Linked DNA regions of Coturnix japonica. The protein of the gene in region 1 purifies or fractionates together with the protein of each later gene. This does not show direct contact. Links are inferred from orthologs where the notes say so. Each region holds a gene or a part of one and is shown on either strand. Other genes may lie near its edges.

Region 1 (5,657 bases):
CCTACAGCTTTTCTAGGACTGAAGCACATGCAAAATCTCAGATGTTATAAACAGGGCTCATTTGGGATCCAGGGCCTTGCTTTAATCACACAGACATCCCTATTTTCAGTCAACTTTATTGATAAAATAAGTTTACTGTACAGTACACAATTCTAGCCATAAATTCTTTTCAAGCTATCCGCATTACAAAAATAACAGGTATGCAATGAAAAATAGTCACTCCACACAACGTGAAGGCTCTTTAAAGTCCTAAAGTGATCGGGTCAGGGGAACAGAAGGGGAGACGTATCAAACGTGAAGACTAAGAGTAGATAAATTAAGTCACATATCTTAATTTACAAAAATAAACACTAATCAAGCATTATTTCATAATAGAGCAACCTTAAAGAACTGCCACAGTCTAACAACCCTTCTCTGCTACACCCTCTGCAGACTGTATTTGAGACAGTGCAGGTCAGCCGTGGAGCTGCATTCAGTATCAAACGGATGCGAATGTCTCTGATACCAGCCAACAGCTGAAAAGACACTTGGAGAAAAACCTGAAGCCAGAATTTCTTCCCAGCTGGCAGTGCCAAAACACACTGCGGTACAATAGATGTCGCTGCTGCTAAGTCACCGGCTTGCAAGCTACAGCAGAAATGCAAAAAGCTGTTATGTAAGCATGGGTAACGTTTAGATCACAGCAGGTGTCATTTGGGCTTGAGATCACATTAAGCTCCCTGTAAATCGGCCCATCCACTGGGAATCTTAAGTTCCATTGTAGACCTTTTGTTGCATGTACCTTCGAGTCTATGGAGGTTTTACTTAATATTGTTTTTAAAACAGCCGCATTTGATAGCGCTTAATGCTCCATCCCGCCTGCATTGTTGCAACTGAAAATGAAACTTGTTTAAATGGTAACTGATTGCAGAGTACTTCAACTCATTGTGCGAGGTAAGTAAGTTAGTAAACAGCCCCGATACCGGTTGTACATCTGCAGCCTTCTGTGACTGAAAGCTTTTACTGTACTTCAAGTGTGCGTTCCAAGTAAAGACTATAGTAACACGCTGAACAAAATGTGGTAACTCGCTTAGCAGCAGCCTTAGCGCTCTGAACAATGAGCAGAAGCGGTCTGACAAAAGCCAGCTGTCAATCATTGCGGCGCCTCTTTCATGGCAAACACATCTTACGAAGCACTTCTGGTGTACAGGCAAACCGTGCAAGCTACTTCTTGTTCTAGAAGCGCTAATTCATTTTCACCTCTGCAGCTTTTTCACTAATAAAAGTGAGCAGTCTTGTCAGTGTGATGTATTGAGAGCTCCCAGTGAAAATACACAAAACTCCTTGACTAAATAGTACTTAAAGAAAGAAAATAATAGTTCCAGGTGCACAGTCTGCTAACTTTGCCATAGAATTTCTCACCTCTTTCTCCCAATTATCTTTCCCTCAGTACGGTCTGAGTGCTTTCAAATTGCTGTTTCTAGCTTTGGGCAGCCAATCCCCAAAGAAACAGATGAGACTACGGCAGCCTGCCACCCACAGAGAACTGAGCTTCATTTTCTCTCATAAGGTAAAAACAACTGCAAAAGTATTGCTTATGTTTGAGCAACTGGCCTTACATTGCAACAGGGCAGCCTGCGGCTAACAGGAGCCCGTCGGCTTTCTGCTGGCTCTTTCCATTAAAGAGGCTCGTTGCTAAATGCTGAATTTCACAAACCTTAGTAACTAAAAGGACAAATGAACTATGGAGCATGCACAAAGCGTAGTCAGTCGCTATCTTTTAGCCAGATATCAGACTACTTTAAATCTTGCATTTATTGTATAATAGGTGCACTGAAGTTTTGTCCGAGCAATAAATTATATAAATTAAGTGAAATTATGTATTTTATTTGTAAAATGACTTCATATAAAAATAATTCCCAATTCCATAAGTGCACTAACCCATTTCCTACTGAAGTTAGACCTATGGCAATTAATCTGTCACTACGGTATTCAGAGAGTACCGACTGGAGTTTATTTTACACGGTATAAAAGCCACTAAACCAAAGTTCAAGATGCATAAGCCTGCTGGTGCCCTATTCAGTAACAAGTGCTTGACAAGTGACCCCTGATATTCCGTTTGTAAAGTGTGCAATTAAAGCTGGTTGGCTTCCACAGTCTTCAGCTCTTCCTCAGGCTCAAATCACTGCTTGTTACTAACCCTGAAAGGGATGTACTCTCTGATGCATCTTCTTTCTTAAGGTTCAGGAATGATTCTCTGGTTATCTGAAGAATTTCTCTCAAGCCTTTGTTTTCTTGCTATAACCGAGGGATAAAAAAAGGCATTTAATAGAACTCCAGAAAGTCAGATAACTACATGAAGGATCTCTCCTTCCCTTTACTACAAACACACTTACAAAAGACATGCAACAAACTAGCAGTACCAGTGAATGATCCAGTAACTCAAGAAAGAGACAGTAACTCAGTAACTGTGATAAGGTTAACACCCTTGCTAAGGGCTGAGTTCTAGAAATAACTGAAGCACTGGGAACAACAGAACCAAAGGCATTTTACACACAACGAACTGTACCAGAAGGTAAGTGCACAAAGCGGCTTTTGTTTTACGTGCCGGATTACCACAGAGTTACAAACAGAAAGGATCCCTTTACTGAAGAGTTTACTGACTTTAAAAACTGTTGTTAGGGTTGGTAGCAGCATTGGAAATAATTAAACATTGCACCCAGTTCCTCACTCGATAATAACGTGTGACTTGGTTCCACAACGTCTTATAAAAAAGCAGCCAAATTGGTAGCGCACTGGGAAAACCTTTGTCAAAGGAAATGATTTAATACCGAGGGAGACTGGAAAACCAAGCAGGTGACTAAAGCAAAAGTCTAAATCAGCATCTCAGGATTTGTGGCAATTTCAGCAAATCTACTGCAAGAATACAGAACATGATTTGCTCCCGAGTTCTGGAAAGATGGCACCGCAGCAGAGACCAATCTCATGTCAGCTACAGCCCCCTCAGCTCCTTGATACAACATCAAACTAATTCTCCTAAGTAAACTAATTACCTGAAACAGTCCAGCTCCATGAAGATAGCACGCAGCTATCTTAATGCTGGCTTTGAGTACTGGCAGCAGATGCACGGGAAGCTGGCTATTCCTAAACCCTAAAGTACTGAAAGACTGTAAAAGAAAGGTAGAACTGTAGGGTCAGAACAAGATATTTTGTTTAGAGACGTGGAGCACAATTTAAAGCTTGTGTGAACGTATTTGGGTAGCGGTAACCTGCTCCCCCAACTCCCCAAATAAGTGGCAGAGAGTTTCCCTGTTCTGACAGCCAGACTCTGATCTGTGTGTAATCGCAACTTCTTGTCTCACAGTCAGTTCTGAGCATTTCTCACTGGGAGGGTAGAGGAAGACAGATCCCTATTTGTGCCATCACTGGCACAAATCTCAAAAAAAGATCTCATACTTACTTCAAGCTGAATGATACGTTCCTGCTCTTTACAGCCATGCTTGTCATCAATTTCAATGGCTTTCCTCATTACCGCTGCCATTTCTGTAATTTGGTCCACGTGCACTTGTAGTTCCTACACCATATAGATAAAACAGTACTTTTAGTAATAAGCTTTCTTCATTACTAAAAATAAAGTATTACATGTGCATTTAAACTGCCGTGTCATGCAATAAAAATGCAAACACAGACCTAAACAAAGAAGCGCTAACTCTACAGCATGAGCAGCCACTGCAGTTCTGTTCATTTAAATCAATCTGGTTTGCCACACGGTTCACTTTTAGGAGTTTTACAGAAGAAAACATGCCCAAATGACTGTGCCTTTGACAGCTTCCATGTCTCCCAGATGGCTGTTAGACAGCCACGTGTTTGCTCTGGCAAGAACTTCCTGTACTGCAGGAGCTGATGTATGCGTCCTTCTGGATGTGCAGAAAGGCCAACTTCATCTGAGCACAGCAGCATATTGGACCTGTTTGAAAGCTGGTCGCAAGTCTGGTACAGACAGTACTCGCCCGTGAGTGGGCATTTCTCTGTTAGAAAGAGCAGGCAAAGCTGTCATCCTGACTATGACATAAGTTGGAAAACTCTGAGTCCTTTTTGCGGTACCGCTGCTCAAATCCACTTCCCATTTCAGCTTATCTGGGATCTGGTCTCTAGAGGTCCTTGTCCTTGTTGAACTCTAGAAACACCCTCGTGTCCTGCCTGACCTCCACTAATTAATACCAATAGGGTACTTCCCTATTATAAATAATTACTGCATCTCACTGAAATATTCATGGAGGAGAAAAAAACAACAAGTGCAGTAGTTGTCTTTGCTCATCTTGTTCCACTGCCAGGAAAGTGATGATAGGAGACATTAACACAGGCCTAACAGCCTTTGCAGGGAAGTTAGATTTTGAATAATCTCCCCTGTTTGCAAATAAGTGATATCTTACTTGGCCCTTGTTGGCTTGGGTGATGTTTTACTTTCTCACTGGCCAGCATATCAGCAAGAAGCACTTATAGAGCCTCTGCTTATTTCTCTTGAAAAATGTAGATGAAGAGCCTAAGTGATTTGGCATTCACTGCTGTAGAGTTAAGCCAAATACTTTAATGTATTTACAGACGCTTTTAATTTGTCCAGTCTTTCAACCTGTTTCTTATTCCAAATCCACTAACAGACCTGCCTCTCCATGCCTGGCCTGACCTTTGGGCAAAATTCACAACATTTATTAAATATTACTAGAAAAAGAACAGTAGGACTGAAATCTGCTATGTACAGTGAGGAACAGCACAGATTAAAGTTAAATACCATCTTTAAATGACAAACTTGATTAGAAGTCCACACATCTAGCAGATCATCACCTTGCCCTTGAACTCTCAGAAACAATTAAACTATCGTAAAAAAAAAATTCCTCTGCTTGGAATCACAGTCTGACCAACCATTAAAAATGAACATCAGCCCTTCCCATCCTTCTCTGCTGTTTCAGTTGCCAAAGCTGTGGTTTAGCTGTTTACTCATTAAGTGTTTGTTTGCAGCATGGAAGTGAGGGAAAGGAGTGGGGAGGAGAAAAAGAGCTTCCTGTAAATAAGCTTGTAAATTCTTCTCAATTTCCAGTGAGAGTGGGTGCATTGAGCATTTTTCCTTCACTGAAAGTTGTTTTTCAAGAGTTTCTTAAAAGAATAAATATGGCTTGAAAGGAAGCTGTGATCAATGGTAAAAGAATGAGCAGGCTAGGATGTATCCTGGAGAAGGACTGGGAAGGAATTAGTGGCTTTTAGATACACAGCTGTCTCATTTGGCAAGCTTATGTGGCATCTCGATCAATATGATCTAGAGCCTGTTACAAGGTCACTAACAGGAGATCAGACAGCATGCTTAGGCTCATTACAAGCAATTCTCATGCACACAAGAATGCTAAGAGAAACTGCTGTTCTGTTAAAGGCAGGTGCTTGTTGAGCTGCAGAAATTAATGAGTTAAATAATATTTTGCAAATAGCCACTGAAGTTGACAGTTGCCACTTAAGAAAGCAGTGATTACTGGTAACATTGAGATTAGCTCGTTAGGTATTATGGAATTTGTTGTTAATGTGCTAAGAACTATTTAAATACTGCTTCAAGATTGTTCAGTCTTACTGGAGGCGAGGACTGACCAGAGGGATAAATAACAAAATGCCAGAAATCTAAGAGTCAGGAAAGG
Region 2 (6,341 bases), on another chromosome or scaffold:
GCAAAAAGGACAAAGCAACCATTAGATGTAGTTACTGTGATTTTATGGGTTGCAGTATCCAGGAAAAAAATAAAATATTAACTGAAATGATAGATTTTTATGACAATGAAAACCTATTGCACTGTAGACTACCATGAAAGACTCGCTTTCTGAGGAGCTATAAGCTACTGTTACTAACCTATTGTACCATTAAACACCCCATATTAAAACAATTATAGACCATCTATTACCCCTTTTGCAGGTACAGACATTCCTCAAACAAAGTAAATCAACCCTGGACTCACATTATCACAGAGAACTCAAGGGATGGAAGACAAGAGGTAGTGAGGACAAGAGGGGCTTTTAAATACACATGCACACAAAAAACAGGCAAGAACATGAGCCACTTTTGTTGGCAACATCACAGAAGGGTCCAGGTTGGAAGGGGCCTCAAGGACCATGAATCTCTAACCCATCTTGCAGGCAGGGCCACCAACTTCCCCATTTAATACTAGACCAGGCTGCCCATAGCCCCATCCAAACTGGCCTTGAACACCTTCAGGGACAGGGCATCCACAACCTCTCTGGGCAGCTGTTCCAGCACCTCACTAATCTCATGGTCTCAAACATGATTTAGACCAAATCCCCATGCAAACTAAAACCAGCTCCATCATTTTTGTGAATTGTTAGGTAGTCCAATAGCTTTCAGAAGTGTTGCTATGTGTGGCTTTGCTGACAATCAAAAAAGCTGGAATAAGATCCTACAAATAGTTGATCCATTAGAATACCACAGTGTCATGTAATACAGAAAACCCTGGAAAATTGCTGTTAGATGCAAAAAGAACATTACTCAACTGGCCAGTCTGTTAATTGGTCTGAGGGAGAAGACTAGGAGAAATTAGGATATACCATATGAGTTATGGGAAAAGACAGACTACTCAATATCATCTGCATATAAGACTTGTTTCTTTACACAGCAGTCCCACAGATTCAAATGTAGCCTGTTCACCAGCATGTGTAATTACAAGTCATGCCTCACCCCTATCAGATGAAATCAATCATCAGAGGGAAGGAACAAGATGGATATAGCCAGTGTAAAGAGAATTTAAATTCGAAAACAGTGCTAAGATGCAAGCTAATATAATCCTGTCTGTTTAGCATTAAGCCAAATGCATCAAGCCCTATTCCCAGAGAATAACTAATACAGAATCTACTTTCACTGTCCATATAAATCTTATATGTTATAACCTTCAATGTTTCAGCACCAAAAGACTAGCCCAACTATTCAGTAATCACAGAACCAGCACACTTAAGATGAATTTCAATGTTATGTTATAGATCTATTCCTCCAAATCCACCCAATGAGGTTTTCAATCATTCAATGGAACTGCCTGAAAGGAAAAAACAACACAACACCCTACATTCAGATAAACTTCTTGTAAAGCAGGAAGATGAAAAGCAAGAAACTCCACACTTTCCCAAAATGTACAGCTACTGTTACCAGTGCCCAAGACACAAACTTGCTTTTCTCATCTATGCTATTTTCTGACAGGCACTTAAAAGTCAAGTGGCAGAAGAACCAGGAAGGGCAGAAACTTTCCCAAATCCACCTTTGCTCACTGGTCAGTGTGAAAACAATCTACTTGTCTATGAAAGAAAGTATTTTGCTTCATACTACCTTTTGAAAGCATGTTTAAAGAGAAGACAGAGTGTTATGCTTGGAACTTGAAAGAAGTTGGAAAACAATGGAAACATGAAGTTCCAGATGGCAGAATTTCACTCCTCAGCTACGTCACCTACCTACACCACTGGTGCTGTCTCCATTCCATTCTCCAGGCTCCATTTACCTCAGATGTAGATAATCTTAAAGCAGCCAAACGTTTGTGCTATTTCTTTTTAAGCCTGCTCCTTCTTTTTAAGCGAAGTACCAAGTGGAAGAAGGCCTGAGGCATTGATCTACCTGCATGATTAATTCAATGACTGGTTTTTAGGACAGAACCAGAAGTTACAGCTCTGCTCCTCCTAGAAAGATTATCCCCACTAACAAGAAGTTCCACTCCACTTCTTGTAGGGAGGATTCAAGAAGGTTGTGTTAAGAGAAAATCCACTAAGATCTTTGCCATCAGAAAAACTTAAGCTTAGTAAGAAAGAACGGGATAAAAACAAACACTTAACTTGAGGCCTGTCCCAAATTCAGAGGCAAAGACCTTGGCCTTTATTTGTAAAGCCCAAGTACATGGCTAATATGCAGTTCTAACAGTGTACCTACCCTGTGCACAACTTGGTACCTTTAAGTTTCTCTTGTTAATGGTTGCTCATAATAAACTGGAAAAAAAAGCACAAGTTCCCCCCTTCCGGAGAGAAGTTACCTACATAGTACTTCCATTCGTAGATCATAACCACTCCTCTTGTATAACTTTGACTGCATAGTACAAAGCTGAAAGCCTCTGTGCCTCAAATACTGAGCTACTTCTCTTATTAGAGCTGGGGACAGGATGGTTGAATTCACTGAAATTGGTGTCAAGTGCAGCTATGATGATAACAACCTCTGTATTCTAAAACTAATAAAGACAACAAGAAACCTAAAGAAGCAGCCTACTGTACAGGTTCTGTATTAAGCTAATGCTTACATTCAGCACCTTCCCAAAAGAGATAACAAAAGGAATACTATCAGAAAACAGCACTCAAGTTTAATAGGCATCTTTAAATGCCTCTTAGTAGAGCAAACATGTACTCCTCAAATACCTGCATGCACATCTATCACAGCCACTTCCAGATGAGTTCACTCTGACAGAGTATAACTGCTTGTGCATTTTATTATTGTGAAGCCAATTTGGGTGACTAAGTTGCACAAACTTGCAGTAAATTCAAGAAGCCTATTTTTAGACGGTTACTTCAAAATACTCTGAAATCTGGCTTTCAATAAATCTGTTGTCTGAAGTTCAGAATAGAAATTATTTAGTACACCCTAATACTTTGGTTTTGTGTCTGCCTATCACATGAAAAACAAAAGATGCCTGGACTAGGCCCTAATTTCATCTCTCTCTTGTACTATCACTACTGACACGCAGACAAAGTTCATTTCTCTTTTGTTAACATGTCTCTTTTTAAGTACTAGAAGGCCACAAAGAAGCCTCTCCAATACAGAATAACACAACACATCCCTGTTTCTCTTTCAAGCTCTTTTCCTCTTCCAAGGGAATTTGAAAGTAAAACTACTCAGTTCTCATTGCCCTATCAACCACTAACAGATAAACCACAAACAGAAACAGCTCCAAACACAATAACACATCCCAATGGGTAAACAACCAGCACTCAGCAATCAGTTCCTCTGATAACAAGAACACATCCACCTGCCTCAAGGCTTCAGCAGCAAACCTGTGCCCCCTATATGGACAAGCCCCAGGAAGGCCACACACTCGCCACTCATTAATCATATAACAGCACACTAAGGTGTTTAACAACACCAGCCTAAAGCTTGGTTTAAAGAGGAAGCACGACGTGATCACTTTCTATCCTCCCCCAGACGAAAGGCCCCACCTGGAGCGAACCAGGCCCAGCCCTGACAACGCCGTTCAGCAGTACGAGGCCGGGCTAAAAATACAACGCAGGCCTAACGCTGCCAAGAACAGCCATAGGGCTGCGGACGGGGGTTGGTACCCGGCCCTACCAGGAGGGATCCGAGCGGGAAGGGCGGAAACAAGGACGAGCCCTTGGGCCAGGTCACCCCGCGGTAGGAAGAAAAAGGCCGAGGCCTCACACCTGCAGCAAACAACGTTTCTCCCCTCACCCAGCCTCAAACCTGAGACAGTTTAACGCTTCTAACATAGCACAACCCCAAAAGGAAACCCAGGCCTTACACCGGTGACCCCCACCCTCTTCCTCTGTGTCTCTCCAGGCGCTTATCCCTTTAAAGACATGGGCCTAGAGAAGAAAACGAAGCCTCTCTCACCTCACCGCCTTACCTCGATACCTCTCCGCCCCGCAAAGCTCACCGAGCTCCGAGGGGGCTCCTCCACCTCGCCGGAAACCCAACAAGGAGGAAGCGTCCGCCGTGTTACCACACACCAGGCGTTGTCCGGAACTAACCGGCAGCCGCTCGGATACTTGGGATTCGTAGTCCTCTCTCCTCAACTACAACACCAACAATGCAACGAGGCGATAAAAGGGGCGGGTAGGAGGGAATGAGGAGGAGTATAGGAGTAGAGTCTATTCAATCAGAGCTCGAATCTGGACGGGTGGGCGAGGCCTGGACGGGGCGCGGTGGCATATCCCGGCGCGGGGAGCAGCGGCTGCACTTCTCACAGTGGAGGGGGGTGGTGTTGAGCTGCTGCTGTGGTAAGTGCCTTTAGCCTGCTGTGTTCAGCCGGTGCTGTGTTTAGGGTTGCGGGAGCAGCCTGCGGTTTGATGTCGGTGTGAAGCTGCGTGGCTCCGTAGTGCGGGTTGTGTGTCAGTGCCTGAGGGGAGGTGGTGGGTGATGTGGGGAGAGAATGGGGAAGGAAGAGAGCAATAATAATGTGGCGTCCTGCTGTCCCGGCACCTGCAGCCTGTCCACCTGAGTGTGTTTTATGCTATTCTGTGGTCTCCTGAAGCTCTGTCCCAGCCGTGGTTTGAGCGTGGCAGAACGAAGCTGCCCCAGCCTTGTGCTGAGCTGCTGCCTCTCTCCTCTCTATCTCTTGGCTTGTGTTGCCCTGTAGGTGTCCCCTATATGGGCTGTTTGACAACGGTCGCGTTACTTTTGGTGCTCGCAGTTATTGGAAAGCTTTAAGGTGAAGCTCTTAGTAACCAATATGAATTCCCATCAATACGCAGCTCAGTTCTAGGTTTGAGCCTTCGTTTCTAATGCGTTAGCTTGCAACTTTTCCTGGTACTGTTATTACTTTGGTGAGGCGTATGCGGGTTTTGCTGTAAGCAGGTGATGAATCGGTGCATCGCGGTGCTCCTGAATGCCAGCTGCATCTCCTTGCAGCGCCGAGGTGGTGAAATGGGAAGATACTGATATATGTGTGGGAGCAGAGCCCTTGTGTGTGCTACCCATACATGCTACCAGTGCCCACCATCTGCATGTAGGTAAGGAAGGATGCTAGAAAACAACTACTAGATTTGTCATGCTTTACTGTGTATGCGGAGTATTTGTCTTTGATTCCTCAATTATTTTGATGCGATCAGTGCTTTAATCCAGCAGAAAGCCTTGCTATTTAGTTTGTGTGACAGACACAGAAGCATTATAGCATGGGTTGAGGTGCATATGCATCTATGATATTGTCATTCCTTAGTGGTTGTAAAGTGATGTTAGGAAGCTGCAGTCCTACTGGTGCTAGTATTTTACTTTAAGTCACAGCATAAGTAATGCTTAATGATGCTTTCCTAGATTTACTTAATATGCTCTTTGACCTGTGTTCAGGCAGTCCAGCAGAGCTCCAGGAGTGTCTGAGTGTTCCATCATTGTAATAACTCCCAACAGTTATTCTATATATGTCAATGTCATATGTTTACTTACCTCTTAATTCAACTTTTGTTTTGTTACTAAATGGAGCAGTGGAGAGGAGATGGTGCTGGTAGGATCCTTTGCACCAAGCTCTAGCTACTCCAAGGTCTTTAGTATGCTTTCTCACTTATGTATCTGTATGGTGACTGTTGAATCAAAGCCTGAACCACTGATTGTGCACCTGGGGAAAGGACCCAGTCAACTGGGAGCACTGGTGAAGGCTTCACCAGTTCAGAAGGAGCGGAGTCTGGCTGTGTCTCTCTTAGACCACACTGAAGAGCTGACTGCCACTGGGGAAGAATCTCTGTCTGGAGATCCCTCCCTTGTGGTGTTTTCCTTGTGAACCCAGATCTTCAGTGATGGGTGAGCCCTTTTCCTTTGTAACACCATCACATTCCCACTATTCCCTTTGCTTCTGTGCTCCTTTATCGCTCTTCCACTTTGTTGACCTTTCTGATTGCTCCAGTATCTTATTGCTTTCTCCAACTCAAGTTTTGTTGCTCTTTATCTATGTCTGTCACTCTTGAATGTTTAAAGTAACTTGTTAGCAGATATTCTGTGTAGGCAGTATATTATTCTGTCTGCCTGAACATGAATTAACATGTTAAGTGTCCTGTGATTCTCTGCTTAAAATTATTTAGGAGGTAACCATTAATATTCAAGGTAGTGGGCAGATAGTAGGGATAGACATCTATGAAGTAACATGTTTAGTGGTAACTTTGTACCTTTGAAGATCAGAGTAGTTGATTTAAATTTGGAAGCGTCTTCAAAACTGTTGGGTTAGTGGAGTTTGTTGGTGAGTATAAATGTAGGTAAGGTAACCTGTGCATTTTGTTAATAAAGCCATGCTGTATTAATAAGCTTTGGTTTTTTT

Evidence for each region.
Region 2: the proteins of FGFR1OP2 (region 1) and PDCD10 purify together in Homo sapiens (affinity purification with mass spectrometry; 3 studies listed by BioGRID and IntAct, counting the BioPlex papers as one, with this or other methods). This does not show direct contact. The link is inferred for Coturnix japonica from reciprocal best matches to the Homo sapiens genes FGFR1OP2 and PDCD10.

What each region holds. Positions count from the first base shown.
Region 1 is NC_029516.1:62,493,075-62,498,731, reverse strand, and holds the end of FGFR1OP2 (FGFR1 oncogene partner 2), read right to left. Parts: intron 3,554-5,657; coding exon 3,440-3,553; intron 3,147-3,439; coding exon 3,033-3,146; intron 2,278-3,032; coding exon 2,140-2,277; 3' UTR 99-2,139; downstream 1-98. UniProt on the Homo sapiens protein: May be involved in wound healing pathway.
Region 2 is NC_029524.1:18,269,950-18,276,290, reverse strand, and holds the start of PDCD10 (programmed cell death protein 10), read right to left. Parts: upstream 4,125-6,341; 5' UTR 3,975-4,124; exon of another isoform or gene 3,932-3,974; intron 1-3,931. UniProt on the Homo sapiens protein: Promotes cell proliferation. Modulates apoptotic pathways. Increases mitogen-activated protein kinase activity and STK26 activity. Important for cell migration, and for normal structure and assembly of the Golgi complex.